2 linked regions of the Astyanax mexicanus genome follow. The protein of the gene in region 1 binds, or shares a complex with, the protein of each later gene. Links are inferred from orthologs where the notes say so. Each region holds a gene or a part of one and is shown in the gene's direction. Other genes may lie near its edges.

The links.
Region 2: the proteins of mfsd1 (region 1) and glycosylated lysosomal membrane protein are in contact, whole or in part, in a cryo-EM structure (PDB 8R8Q), measured with the Mus musculus proteins. The link is inferred for Astyanax mexicanus from reciprocal best matches to the Homo sapiens genes MFSD1 and GLMP. Residues at the interface, in NP_080089.1 of Mus musculus: Val288, Glu292, Lys293, Arg295, Phe349, Phe351, Leu411, Asp412, Lys414, Gly415, Tyr416, Leu417, Leu418, Val421, Ile424, Ser428, Leu432, Val435, Leu439; in NP_064387.1 of Mus musculus: Glu250, Asn252, Ser253, Ile254, Asp255, Asp256, Glu257, Pro260, Ala261, Phe263, Gln264, Arg292, Phe364, Leu367, Val368, Ile371, Met372, Ala375, Ala378, Leu381, Met382, Gly385, Phe389.

What each region holds. Positions count from the first base shown.
Region 1 is NC_064411.1:42,770,013-42,777,319, reverse strand, and holds the start of mfsd1 (major facilitator superfamily domain-containing protein 1), read left to right. Parts: upstream 1-4,302; 5' UTR 4,303-4,390; coding exon 4,391-4,535; intron 4,536-4,875; coding exon 4,876-4,928; intron 4,929-6,487; coding exon 6,488-6,600; intron 6,601-7,152; coding exon 7,153-7,195; intron 7,196-7,307. UniProt on the Homo sapiens protein: Lysosomal dipeptide uniporter that selectively exports lysine, arginine or histidine-containing dipeptides with a net positive charge from the lysosome lumen into the cytosol.
Region 2 is NW_026040049.1:40,313-47,698, forward strand, and holds the start of glycosylated lysosomal membrane protein, read left to right. Parts: upstream 1-4,362; 5' UTR 4,363-4,421; coding exon 4,422-4,508; intron 4,509-5,229; coding exon 5,230-5,490; intron 5,491-6,199; coding exon 6,200-6,394; intron 6,395-7,386. UniProt on the Homo sapiens protein: Required to protect lysosomal transporter MFSD1 from lysosomal proteolysis and for MFSD1 lysosomal localization.

The sequences.
Region 1 (7,307 bases):
TCAGGCAATAGGGGTGGGGGCATTATATTATGCACAAAAATAATAACGTGCTGCTTTTAAGTAGTAGAGTAGGTGCCCCATGCAATGTTTAAAGACAAAAAAGATGAGCGTATCATAAATAATTCACATTGGGTTTTAAATTTAATAATGTCATAATTCTGTCATTTCATTCTCAGTCAATTTGGCTCCCTGCAACTGCAAAATGGTTGAGGCCTAACGCTGGCTGCGTTGTCTGCGTATGCAGAGCGGCGGCCCTGATTACAGTCGTAAGTACTGTTATTTTTTACCCTGATTGTAAAGAGTTACAGATGCATCAGTAGCTGGGTAGAACAATATGAATATGACTGCTGTCTAAATAAATTAAAAAGGCATTTTTTTTTTACGGCAGCCTCACGCTGACACAGGGTCCCAAGCAGTGATGTTATTAACGCGTTACTCTAATCTGACTCTTTTTTTCAGTAACGAGTAATCTAACTCGTTACTATTTCCAATCCAGTAATCAGATTAAAGTTACTTATCCAAGTCACTGTGCGTTACTCTCGCTCTCTCTCTCTCTCTCTCTCTCCACCTCACACACACACACACACACCGCGTTCCCTTCCCCATCCCCCTCCGCTCTCCCCCAATCACACGCGTCTCGCTTTCTCCCCTGTCTCTCTCTCTCTCGCGCTCGGCGTGTTTTTAGTTTCCGCCCATTCTCGTTTTTCCGCCAGTTCTCGGGCTCCCTATCTCTTTATAAAGGCGGGTTTTCCCGGCCACGTCCCAATTCACTAGCCAGGGCAGCGGTCTGCACAGATCTGATTGGCAGAGGAGAGCGTTTGAAGATTTTACACCACACGTGATTGGTCTGTGAGTTTCCCATGCCGCAGAGTGCGTATACCGTAAAGACAAGAAAAGTTCTGACGCTTTAAATGAACACTGTCAAAATTAAATCCTTCTCAGTAGTTTATCGGTTTGGGTCCGCATTGGACAACGTCTGACCGCAGTCTGCATATATGTGATCCCTGGCCTCGACCATATACACGGTTTTGTTTTATCAAACCACTCCTTGCTGCCCTGCAGAGAACAACAGGTTCAATATTCAGTTTTACAGTGTTAAATATGTCAGGTCAAGAAAGACTTTCTTTATTTTATATTTTTTTTATAAAAACAAGTATTTATGTTAAGTGAAATCAAGAAAGACCATATTTTATTTTTTATAAAAAAAAATATTTATGTTAAGTTAATTCAAGAGAAATGGTCTTTTAATTTTATAAAAATAAATAGTTCAACTTTAAATGTCTAGAGATACATTGATGCTGTTAAAAATGCTTTTTCCAATAAAGGGAGTATTGGCAAAACTGGTTATAATTTTTATGTTAAGGCGGCGGGACGTGGTGTGTGCAGCTGCTTAAAGTAACTTGTAAAGTAACTTAGTTACTTTTAAAATCAAGTAATCCATAAAGTAACTAAGTTACTTTTTAAAGGAGTAATCAGTAATCGGATTACTTTTTCAAAGTAACTATACCATCACTGACTGTGACCCTGCTGGGTGACAGGAATGACTAAGGTTGTTGACCATCACGAGCATCATGAGCCTGTAGGTTGACCACAATGACCATTGTAACCATATTTGGTGACCATTATGAGCACATTGGTTGCCCAGCATGACCACTGTGACTATGTACATGGGCCACCATTACCAAGATGGTTAACCAGTGAATACCAAGATGGTTGACAAATGTTAATCAAGATGGTTGACCAGTCTTGACTAAAATGGATAACCAGCACATAGATCAACCATGATGGCCACGCTGGTCAATTACCATGACCAAGCTGAATGACGAGCATGAGCAGATATTAGCAGAATGAACAAGGATGTTAACAAGCATGACCATTATAAGCAGGCTGGTCGAATAGCATGACCATTGTGACCAAGTTGGTCAACCACTATGGCCACGTTAACCAACAACCATAACCAAGCTTTTAAAGCAGCATAACCAGCCTGAGCACTTTATTCCAGCACTATGTGACCAGTTTCCCTAGATAATGAACTGAATATTTGATTAAATAATTGAGATGTCAGTTACCTGTATGGGTCTAAGTCTTTTAGACATCCTAATGCTCTTAAAACCGCAGGACCAGATGGCTTCCATGCCCTTCTCTGGAAATATTTCAATAAAGAGTCAACCCATCCTTCAGAAATGAATGCACTGGATGCACATATGGCACCAACAGCCTGGGGGACATATGTGCCCCTGCTACTAAGAAATCATGCCCCAGGGGATGTAGTGATTTTCGGCCTGTGACCTTGACAAGTGTATTTATGAGGTCACTGGAGATTTGTTTCTTATTTATTTATCCTTGAGAAATCTTTATTACATTGTGTATATACAGTATATGTGTTTATGTAGGTATGCATTTTGTGTACACACTTGTTCCGGCTGGATAAGTGCTTGATTGGCAAAGGAAGTGTTGCAATCTGGTGGAGATATTCCTATAAAACCTTTGCTGTATAAGTTGGAGCATTATCCTGCTGAAAAATGAAAGTTGGAAGCCCTGCCATATGAGGCAACCCTTGTGGCTGCAGGATGTCACGCACATATCATTAAACTGTTAGTGTCCCTAGTATTACTACCCAGATCATCACACCATTCAAACCTGAAGACAACTATCGTCAGATACTAAACAGGACCTGGATTTGATGCTAAAACAATATGGTTTATGGTATAATGTCATTCTGTAACCATTTACACCCCTAATAAAATGTTTATTAAATGTAGATGTTTGCATTTTGTGTGATACACAGGTTGGAGTAGGAATATAGAAGATAAATGTTGGGTAAGGTGAGGTAAGATATCTACTCTGTTGATGTAATTGTATTTCTTTCTCATAAAAAGGCTGTTGCCAGGGCTCTACTCACAAACACTGATTGATGGGCAGTGACAGAATGTGCATTTAAGGTCAAACTGTCAAATTCACAACATGAAGGTGACATCTGCCAAACATATCAGCTTACAGATGTGAATACTGGCTTTTATAAACCCCAGTCACAAATCAAATAGAAAGGAAGGTTAACAACAACAACCAAGACCTCTATAGACTTGTAATGGCCCAAAATACTTCTAGGTAGAATATTTATCAAATTACCACAGGAACATTTTCCTGTCCTGCACACCCACTTCAATAATGGGCTGTTAATAAGCTAAATAGTATGAACAGGTGTGTTGGAAGCAGGGAAAACTAAAGGCATTGGGCCTCAAAGACCAAGCAATCGAGCTGACCCTATAAGAAATTCACACTGTTCCCGTCTTGCCTTTCACTCTGCAAACTTTCCACTGCTTTCCAATACTGTACTTTTACTTTCAGTAAAATAAACTACCTTACCACACTTACGTGTGGTGATTAAAGGACACTTGTACTTTTAAGTCTGAGTCTCTTGTACTTTATACACATCAAATATACATTATATAAAAGAATATACATTCAACATACATTATACTGAAGAACATGCAATTTATATACATTAAACAAACTTTATACTTAGGGACATGTATGTTTACTTACAATATACTAAAGAAAATACATTATACTGAAGAACATACGTTACATTTTACATACATTAAACACACATTATAATAAAAAAATCAAAACTTTCACGTATATTTAACACACATCATACTGTAGAACATATATTTTTTACATACATTAAACACATACTATAGAACATATATTTTATATGCATTAAACAAACTTTATACTTAAGAACATGTATGTTTACTTACAATATACTAAAGAAAAAAACATTTTACACACATTAAACATGCATTATACTTAATAACTTGTATATTTACTTAAACTTTACTGAAGAAAATACATTTTATATACATAAAACAAACACTATACTTAGAAACATGTTTTTTTACTTAAACTATACGAAAGAAATTTCATTTTACATATATTAAAAATGCACTCCACTGAAGAACATACATTAAACACACATTATACTTAGTAACTTGTATTTTTACTGAAACTTTACTAAAGAAAATACATTTTATATACATTAAACAAACATTAAACTTAGGAACATGTATGTTTACTTGCAATATACTAAATAAAATACATTTTACATACATAAAACAAACACTATACTTAGAAACATGTATTTTTACTTAAACTATACTTAAAAAAATCATTTTACATACATTAAAAATGCACTTCACAAAAGATAATACATTTTACATACATTAAACACACATTATACTGTAGAACTTAACTATTTCCGGATATAAAACTGAAACTGTTCGTAGTCATATGACTCCTGAGTGTGCAGTCACATGACTCAGGATCCGCACGGCTCTGCTGTAGAGCTGCTGTATGAGAGAGCTGCTGTTTTAACATAGGGAGGAGAATGGCGGGATTAGAAGAAGACGAGAGGCTTTTAGATGAAAATAATCATGAGGGGAGAAACACAAGGCGGATGCATCCTCTGCTGGACCCGAGCCACCTGCTGCACCGGATCTTGGTCCTGATGTTTATGTGTTTTTTAGGTTTCGGTAAGTGGGGTAGTGGGGTTCCGGGCGCGTCACTGTTGTTTTTAGCTTCAGTAACACCAGCAAACTAGCTTAAAAGTCCTTTGTTTACATTCAGCTGACTCCGTATCATTAGGCTGTATTAAATGTGTTATTCAGTGTAGTAAGTGTGGCTAGCTACACTGTGCAGAAGTAACGTTAAATCAGCTGTTAGCTAGTTAGCTAACGTTAACTACAGAAACACTGCTGCTAAATAACTAGAACAGTTGTGCTACGAAACGGTTTTTTGTATTACTTCCACACTGTGTATTAAAGTAAAAATCTATGTCGGAATTTAACAGCTTAATGTCCTTTTATTTTACAGGTAGCTACTTCTGCTATGACAATCCAGCAGCTCTTCAGAAACAAGTCATACAGGTCAAAGGACTTTTATTGTGTAGAATAGCTTTATTGTGATTTGTATTGAGCTGCTGTTCCTCTTTATATGCAAATATTTCATTTGCTTCCCTATTCTTACTCGTTTTTTCTCTAAATAATTTTGTCACTTTAGTTTGCTAGTCATTTGTGTGTCCTAGGCACAAAATGATTTGAATTAAAAATTACTCTTTAATATTAATGTTTTGATAAAACACTAGCTAAACTAGGCAGCAGCAAAGATGGCTGTGTCCCAAAAGCTGTATTAGGCCAATTAGCCAAACCACGCATTAGGACTCACCCTATCATTGGTGTTGCCCCAACACCAGAAGGGTGAAGACTAGCACATGCCTACACATTTTAAGTCAGCCACTGCCACTGTTTCTGATGCAGCATTTCAGAGCAGCACCACAGTGTGCTCGGAGGAAAGTGCAGCGACTCTTTCACGATACATCAGCTCACAGACGCCTTGTGTTGAGTGATATCACCCATTGGAATGATGAGGGTAAAGAGCGCCACTGGACCACTTGTCACCCTACATTCAGGGCTTGTTTAATTTTTTTGTGGCCCTGGAAGTCCAGGCCTTGTGACACCCCTGATTATGATCATTATTTTTATGATGATTTTTCACAAGACTGATTTTTTTGGTGCCCTCCGCATAGTGAGCACTGATTTGTATTGTGTGAATTGTTTCTAGAGATTTTGGTCATTGTATAACTGCAATATATGTGAGCTTCTTTGCTGGGTGATTCAGAGTAGTTTTATGTAAGTAACATAATACAGGAAGATGGTAAACTCTGCACCTAACTACTAGAGTTACATATAGGGCTTAGCAAGGATGTATTGTTATTCACCCAACAAACAACAAAAACCACGACAGCTAGAATCTGATACCGATTCAACAAGAATCCAGAAGCTCAGCATAACAGTGTATGTTTATGCTCCCCTGCTAAGTACTCAGACCTAAAGTGAAAATGAAACCATACTGTGACAAAATACTTCCAAGAACATAGACAAAACACTTCTTAGTCTGGACCATATCAGCATACAATCAACCATGGCAGTCTACTTGGGTACACAAATGGGTACAAAATTGGGTACAAAATGGGTACACAATCATTTACATTTCAGAGTTGTGTAATCAGAACACAGCAACAGCTACAATCTGATACTGGCACGACAAAGATCTAAAAGCACAGCGTACAAGGGACGGGTTAATGGTCCATTGCCTCAGCTGCTGAGTACTTTGTAGTTTAGAATTAGCATTACATTTAAATAATTATTCTTTATTATGTTAATAACTACACACTATCCATTAAATGTAATGTTACATCATCCAGCACCTCCAGCATCCAGCTTTTAAGAGAGAGTCTGCCTATCCATAGTGCGACCATTTCTGATTAAAGTTAGGATCCAGCTACATCCATTACATATGGCGTCCACTCAGATGTTTCTTCCAGCAAGTTATAAAGTTACATAGTCCAAAGTCTGTAACTAAACATGGCACTCTTGGTAATTTGTGATTTTGGTTTGATTATCTTTCTCTCTCACTTTGTCTGCAGGATATGGGACTAAACACCTCCAGCTTTATGCAGCTTTATGCCTGGTACTCATGGCCCAATGTAGTCCTCTGTTTTCTGGGAGGCTTTCTACTGGACAGAGTTTTTGGCATCAGGTGAGCACACTCTTTTGTGTTTTGTACCAGTAAAAAGTTCAGTCTACAGTGAATAAAAAGTTGCTGAATACAAATTACTGAATATCTTGTAATTGATGTTATACATTGACATCGTACACACGGCACTGTGGATCAAGGAATGTTAAATGCCCACACAAGTGTCAGTGTTAGTGTTCCCAGTCTGTCCCCGGAGTTAAAACTTACACGGTTTCCACCATGCTTTTTGGCATGTCAGTTTAATTATTGATTAAAACAGTGCTTCTGCTGATCATGGTAAGATTAAAATAATCTATTTTATGATGTATTTTCATCTTTTAGGAGTTTGTAGCTTTATTACTTAAATAAATGCTTTCCATTGCAGTATGTTTTAAATACACATCACTGTACGTAGCATGGTAAAATGGTGTTTAAAGGATCTTGTGTTACTAATTCATTTTTGCGAACATTGTGCATTGTTTTCAAGATAAATACAGTATCACATATTGTTATATAATATTTGTATCATATCGTCCAGCCCTAAGTAAGAGTAACATGAACCTCTATTCTTTCTAGGCTGGGGACAATAATCTTTTCACTCTTTGTCTGTGTTGGACAGGTAGGTGCACATCACCTTTTAATTATTGTGTGTTTGTGTGTTTTGATTGTATGTTTGAATTTAAATGATAGATGCTTGAAACTTGTAGCGTGAAGTGACCACTCCTAGGAAA
Region 2 (7,386 bases), on another chromosome or scaffold:
CGTTACTTCTCCAAAAAAGTAACTGAGTTACTAACGGAGTTACTCCACTATAAAAGTAACTAGTTACCAGTAAAAGTAACTATGCGTTACTTTTTATTATTCGCCCGTCAAAAAAAGGAAATCAATTATGCATTTACTATTATTATTAGAAAAATAACAAACGAAAATTAACCCAAAATGTTGACAAAAATATAATCTAACGAATTTCAAAAAAACAAAACGAAATTCTCCACAGAACCAAAGAAAATTACTAAAACTTGTAATACTGAAAAAAACCGAAAAAAACGGAAAAACGCGTCTGAGGATGAAATTAAACAAACCAAGCCACACTCAAAGGAAATATGTATATATAAATAAAACAAAATAATGGACAAAAACATCAATCTAATGACCGTTTTTAAAAGAGAATAGAGCTTAGATCGGGCCCAAAAAATCCGACCCGACCCAGCCCGAACCATGAACTGTCATTATGAGCCCGAGCCTGACCCGATCCGCCCCATAAACTGTCTGTTTTCGGGCTGATTGAATGAGAGAAATATAATCAGAATTATGTTAATTAACACTGTAACATAAAAGCATAGAACTATTATTTAATTTAAATAATTTTTAAGAACAGCTACACACAATGCTGCAAGTCAAACGCATTTTTCATTTTTATTATAGTTTAATTTTAGTTATTTATTTATTTTTTCTGTTCAGTAAGTTTTTAGGGTGGGCTTGCTAGTTTTTATTAGTTTTCACACATCACACTCATCAGAGAGATCAATCTAATAAACGTGAGAGAGAAAGAGAGAGAGAGAGAGAGAGAGAGAGAGAGATATTTGCTTGTTCTGGTATGAGCTACTCACAGGTAAATGTTTTCACACTGTATCTCCTGTTTCTCTTTTATCTGCCTGGTGCTCATATTGTAATCCCATACATAGTTCTGCAGTTTCTCAGTGTTTTCTGTCGTATTTAGTTACAAGAACTAACGGACCACGAGTGCCGTGCGCTCGGCACAACAACTCCCGCTGTACAACTCCGCTGTACAACAGCGCTTATAAATAAATTAAACACGAAATGAGGATATTCTATCAGTAATTTCAGTTCGTTTTAGTTAGTTTTATAAACACAAAATACAGTTCGAGATAGTTCTGTTTTTTTCCTTTTAATTACCGTTTTTATTAGATTCAGTTAACACAAATGTTTTTCACTTTCAGTTTTCGGTATTTCGTTCGCTTTAGTGAACAATAATAATTGGTTACTTAGCAACATTGTGATTATCACATCAGAGCTTTATATAAAATAAAAATAGGAGCCCGATTTCGGGTCGGTCCTCGGGTCAGGTCGGGTTCGGGCAGAGAATCTATAAGCTCTAAAAGAGAAAGCAGCAGCACCACAAAAACCGGAGCAGCTAAAAAGAGCTTAACGTCCTTAATTCAGAACTTGGGCTGTCCACGGCAATCACTGAATTGATTAGAGCAGCAAATGTGCCTCACTTCACCACGCCAAACCACAGGCACAGCGGCCAGAAGCTCAAGTTTACCGGAAAGAGGAGGGGTTAACCAGGGCAAAGCGAAGTTAAAAAAAAAAAAAAAGTTCATAGAGCGGCTAAAGTAACGTGCAGTAACGGGTGTCGGAAACGGTAACGGCGTTATAATTACAGTCATAGTAATTAGTTAGATTACTCGTTACTGAAAAGAAGTAACGGTATTAGTAATGCCGTTAGTTTTAACGCCATTACTCCCAACACTGATTGTCCAACTGGCACCTGTGGAGTTTCCTGCTGAGTTTTCATGTCACAGAAGACACAGTAGGCCAAACTCCTTTCCCCAAACACTCAGACGTCTGAAAAGTATGTTGTCCAAATGACACCTGTGGAGTTGTTTGCTGAGTTTGCATATCAAAGAAGACACCATAGGCCAAACTCCTTCCCCTGACCACTGAGAGGCCTGAAATAGCAGTATGTTGTCCAAATGGCACCTGCTGAGTTTTCATGTCACAGAAGACACCGTAGGCCAAACTCCTTCCCCCGAACACTCAGACGTCTGAAATCAATGTTGCACTCCTGGGATACTCTGCTGAGTTTCGTGCGTCAGAAACCTCTGTAGGCCAAACTCCTTTCCCCCGGGTCGCCTGCCGAGTTTTGTGTCATTGACAACTGCCTGCAATGTCGGACCTCTTGGAGTTTGTGGGACGGAGTTTGGCCTACGGAGGTTTCTGATACACAAAACACTGCAGGCGACCCCAGAGGTTCTAGTTGGACAACATACTGCGATTTCAGACCTCTGGATGGTCGGATGGAAGGACCTAGGCTTATGTGGCACAAAACTCTGCAGGTGACCCCAGACGTTTCAGTTGGACAACAAACTTGACCGGCTTGACTGCCTTGGTATAGGTTGGACCCAAAGTATGGTTAACCCAAAAAACACTAGAACCACATTGGTGATCCCAAACCGCTTTGGTAAGATTTTACCAGCAATGATCCTTTTTATAGAGCAATCTGCTACTTTCATTCCCACTTAATTTCCCTCCAAACTGTCAATTAAAGACTCTCAGGTGCTCTCTCTTACACACACACACACACAACACATACACAGACACACACACACATACAGACACACAAACTCTCACACACACACAAACACACACACACACACTCTCACACACACACACACACTGATACACACACTCTCACACATAGACACATTTAACACATTTATTTAGGCCTACAAAATACAAAATTAAAAGACCCAAATCTTTTTAAATGCATCATCCAACAGCAGTACATGACCATGCAGCATCAGTTTTTTTTATTTACATATGCCTTTATTGATACACAAAACCTCTCTTTCTTCAAATATGTCGACTTCCAATTATTGCAGATATAGAACAATATCTCGCTAACCGTTTGGCTCTAGTCTTAGAGAAGCAGAGGATCTGCAGGCCTCTAACAGCCAATCGGTGTACGCGACCGAGGCTTCCTAAAATAATCACAATCAGAGAACATTTAAACTTAAACTATTAATAAACTCTACGAGCGGCTGGTATTACACAATCTGTGTACAAAAAGCTTCTTCCACTGATGAGTCAAAACAGCAGCTTCAATCAGAAACACAGATTTACCCTCCACATCTACAGTAACCACATCAGGCCTTCTGGCAGATACACAGAGCCGCTTCACCAAACACACACACACACACACACACTCTCACACACACACACCTTTTTATGTTCAGTGTTACACTTTACTACAGACAGCTCATACATAATTGTTTTGTAAAACATTTGATAATATAGAAAACACAAATACACAGTAAAAAATATATATTTTTTATTTTTCCACAAAACAATGTAGACAGTGTACATCAGTGTACATTTGTACGAACACAAAGTATGAATATATTTCACAAATAACTGAAAATACAGAACAGTCCACATGTAATACTGTCCTACAGTACTCAATGACACTGTATTAAAATACAGTACTGCAGTTTAACAATGAGAGCAGATTCATTATCTATACTTATTTCTGAAAGTCCAGGTGATGGATGATGCTACACTGTTCCTGCTCTACTTTATCTAAACTCACATATTTCTTTTTCATGCTGAAGCTCTGATTGCTGATTGCAAATCTGTGTGTTGTGTGTTTGATCATGTGACCAGTCAGTGTAAACAGCAGGGTAATTAACTTTATAGATTAGAATAACAAGGTGTTCCTTGTATTCGTGTGTAAATAATGGAGAAATGTGTAGATTCTGAATTTAGAGCAGAGGATGAAGCTGTGCTGCAGAGCAGTTCTATTAAATGGCCACTAGATGACGCTACAGGAACATAAATCAGACCATCAGCACCATCATTCAGTACAGTCTAGTGTTAAATAAACACTAGTGTGGTTTAAACTGACGTAAGAATAGATTTTTATAAGTAGGATTAAAAAAAAATTAGATTCAGATAAAGGATCTGATCGATGATCCTCTGAGATCTAAAATCTTTATATGAAGTGTTTTAACCCGATAATTGCCGGATCAGGAACTCAGGTTCTGGATCAGGATTATTTTAATACAGGAGAATTCTGTCCTCAGGAACCTTTAACTTATTTGGAAAATAATGAGTGAAATTTCTGGGGGTTCAATAATAATGTGGAATTGGAACCAACCAAACTGACTCACTGTTTACAGGAAGTGCTTCAGAGATTAAGGTCCAACGATCCAGACACACTTACACAGATCTGACTAATTATTACATTTAAAAAATGTTTAATCTAAACCTATTATTATTATTATTATTATTATTATTATTATTATTATTATTATTATTATTATTATTTCTCACGTTTCCGTTGGACTTTTATTTTGCTGCATGTGCGCGCGCAGCGGGACTTGTATTTTGAAGGGTCAGCTGACTGGCTCGTGAGACTGCAGTGGAGCGGAGGGTAAATTATGGATAAAATTCAGATTTTTATTAATATTTTATTGATCTGCGCCGCGCGCGGAGTCCTGTGGGGCGGAGATGATTTCCGGCGGAAGGTGAAGTTTAATAAATTATTCTGATTGTTTTTTGATTGAGTTTAATAGAAACTGCTGAACCTCGAGCGACCAAAACAAACCAAAACGCCTTAAAATCATAAATATATTAATATTCTAATCAAAAACCTGCAGTTCTGATCTCCTGCTATAAAAAAAACTCTTTATTAAAGTTTTTTAAACGTTTATTAAAGGCCATTTTATATTTATAAATGGTTTTATATAAAACTAAAGTCAGGGTATGATTGTTATGCTGATTATTATTATTATTATTATTAGTATTAGTATTAGTATTAGTAGTATTATTAGTATTAATAAGAATAAACGGTTGGGTTTGGCTCCAGTTTTAGGGAAGTTGTTGCTGCATTAATGAGATTCACTTCTGTTTTGATTCACAAGTTTAACTCCTTCATTCCCAACAGCTTTAAAACATTTTAAATACATAATGATAAAGCTTTCTTTTTAAATATGTGAACAGTGAACAAAAAATAAACATGAAGGTGAGATAATTCAACAATTAAAGGAAGATTTCTTCCATATGTTAATAAGAAAATGGTAATATGTGTGAAAAGGATGTGTGAACACTCAATTTATAATTATTATTATTTTTTTTTTATTATTATTATTATTATTATTATTATTATTATTATTATTATTATTATTTATTATTATTATTATTATTATTATTATTGATTTGATTGTGTTGGATGTCTCTGTCCCTCAGGTGTCTCTGGAGCTGAACCCTGGACAGAAGACACCGTCCCCCGGCGTGGACCTGCTGCATGTCCGGGCGCTGGGTGAAAACGACACCCTGCACCTCCTCCTCAGCAGCAACGGAGCTCCTGCAGTTCTGCTGGTTCACACCAACTCCACCGAGTCCCTTATCCACGTCAACTGGACCGCCTTCCTCAACCGCACCCCGGGCAGCGTGCGGGTGGAGCCGGAGAGCAGCGTGCGGTACAGCAGCGCCCTGGTCTTCTCCAGGGTGAGACCAGCTTCAGTTTCATACTGGTCACAATTTAGGATCCAGTTATTCTCAAAGGGTTTCAACTGGTTTGTTTCACTTTTAGAAAATTGAGAGTTTATATCTTAACATCCCTGTCCTACCCAAATTACACTTTACACAGAGACTACAACCCCGAAGACCATACGTTATGACAGTTCGGGAAACACATTAAAAATCCAGTGTTTCCTACATTTACTAACTTATATTTAATAACTTTTGTTTGATTACAGATAGCATGAAGATATTTTATATTTTAACTAAACTTCTAACTCAATTTTATTGATTAATATACATCCATGTTTGCATTTCAAATCTGATACACATTCCATATTTTGTCAAATACTTCAGGCAAACATGTCTTAAGTCAGCTATCAGCTTTTTTCCTGCTTTATAAAGTCAGGATTATAATCACCTGTTAACATTACATAACGTTGAAATCACATCAGTTTTAAATTTCAATTAGAAATATTAAGTTAACAGTCAAATATATGTAAATCTATAAGTCATTTTTATATTAACAAATGTAGTCCAGCTAAGTATCCGAATACTTTTAACAACAGGTAGGTTATGGAACCAGATGGAATTTTATCTGTTAGCCTAGCCGTTAGCATAGCAGTGTAATCTGAGACTGAGACGTTTCTGTGATGAACTGGAGTGTGAGAAATCTGTGTATTGATTTTGGTCTCAGCTGCTGGAATATGATGATGTAAACAACACTGCAGACCCTCAGGATCTCCCCGAGTCCAGCTTTCTCCCCCCTTACGACCTTCAGAACTTCACCTGGAGTGAAATGAACAGCACCCTGGACTACACGCACCACTCCACCCTGCTCTGTGGGAGGGACAGCAGCTCCGCCTTCAGCAACGCTTCACTCTGCCTGCAGGTGAGGGGGGAGGGGGGTAAAGTGATCGTACAGTAAACGTATAGTGATCGTACAGTGTACCGTGATCGTACAGTAATCTTACAGCAATCGTACAGTGATCGTACAGTGTACAGTGATCATACAGTAATCTTACTGTGATTGTACCGTGATCGTACAGTGATCGTACAGTAATCTTACCGTGATTGTACAGTGCTTGTACAGTGATCGTACAGTGATTGTAGTGATTGTACAGTGATCGTAGAGTAATCTTAGTGATCATACAGTGATCGTACAGTAATCTTACCGTGATCGTACAGTAATCTTACCGTGATCGTACAGTAAACTTACAGTGATTGTACAGTGCTTGTACAGTGTACAGTGATTGTACAGTGATTGTAGTGATCGTACAGTGATCGTAGAGTAATCTTAGTGATCATACAGTGATCGTACAGTAATCTTACCGTGATTGTACAGTGATTGTACAGTGATTGTACAGTGATTGTACAGTGTACAGTGATTGTACAGTGATTGTACAGTAATCTTACAGCAATCGTACAGTGTACAGTGATCATACAGTAATCTTACTGTGATTGTACCGTGATTGTACCGTGATCGTACAGTGATCGTACAGTGTACAGTGATCATACAGTAATCTTACTGTGATTGTACCGTGATCGTACAGTGATCGTACAGTAATCTTACCGTGATTGTACAGTGCTTGTACAGTGATCGTACAGTGATTGTAGTGATTGTACAGTGATCGTAGAGTAATCTTAGTGATCATACAGTGATCGTACAGTAATCTTACCGTGATCGTACAGTAAACTTACAGTGATTGTACAGTGCTTGTACAGTGTACAGTGATTGTACAGTGATTGTAGTGATCGTACAGTGATCGTAGAGTAATCTTAGTGATCATACAGTGATCGTACAGTAATCTTACCGTGATTGTACAGTGATTGTACAGTGATTGTACAGTGATTGTACAGTGTACAGTGATTGTACAGTGATTG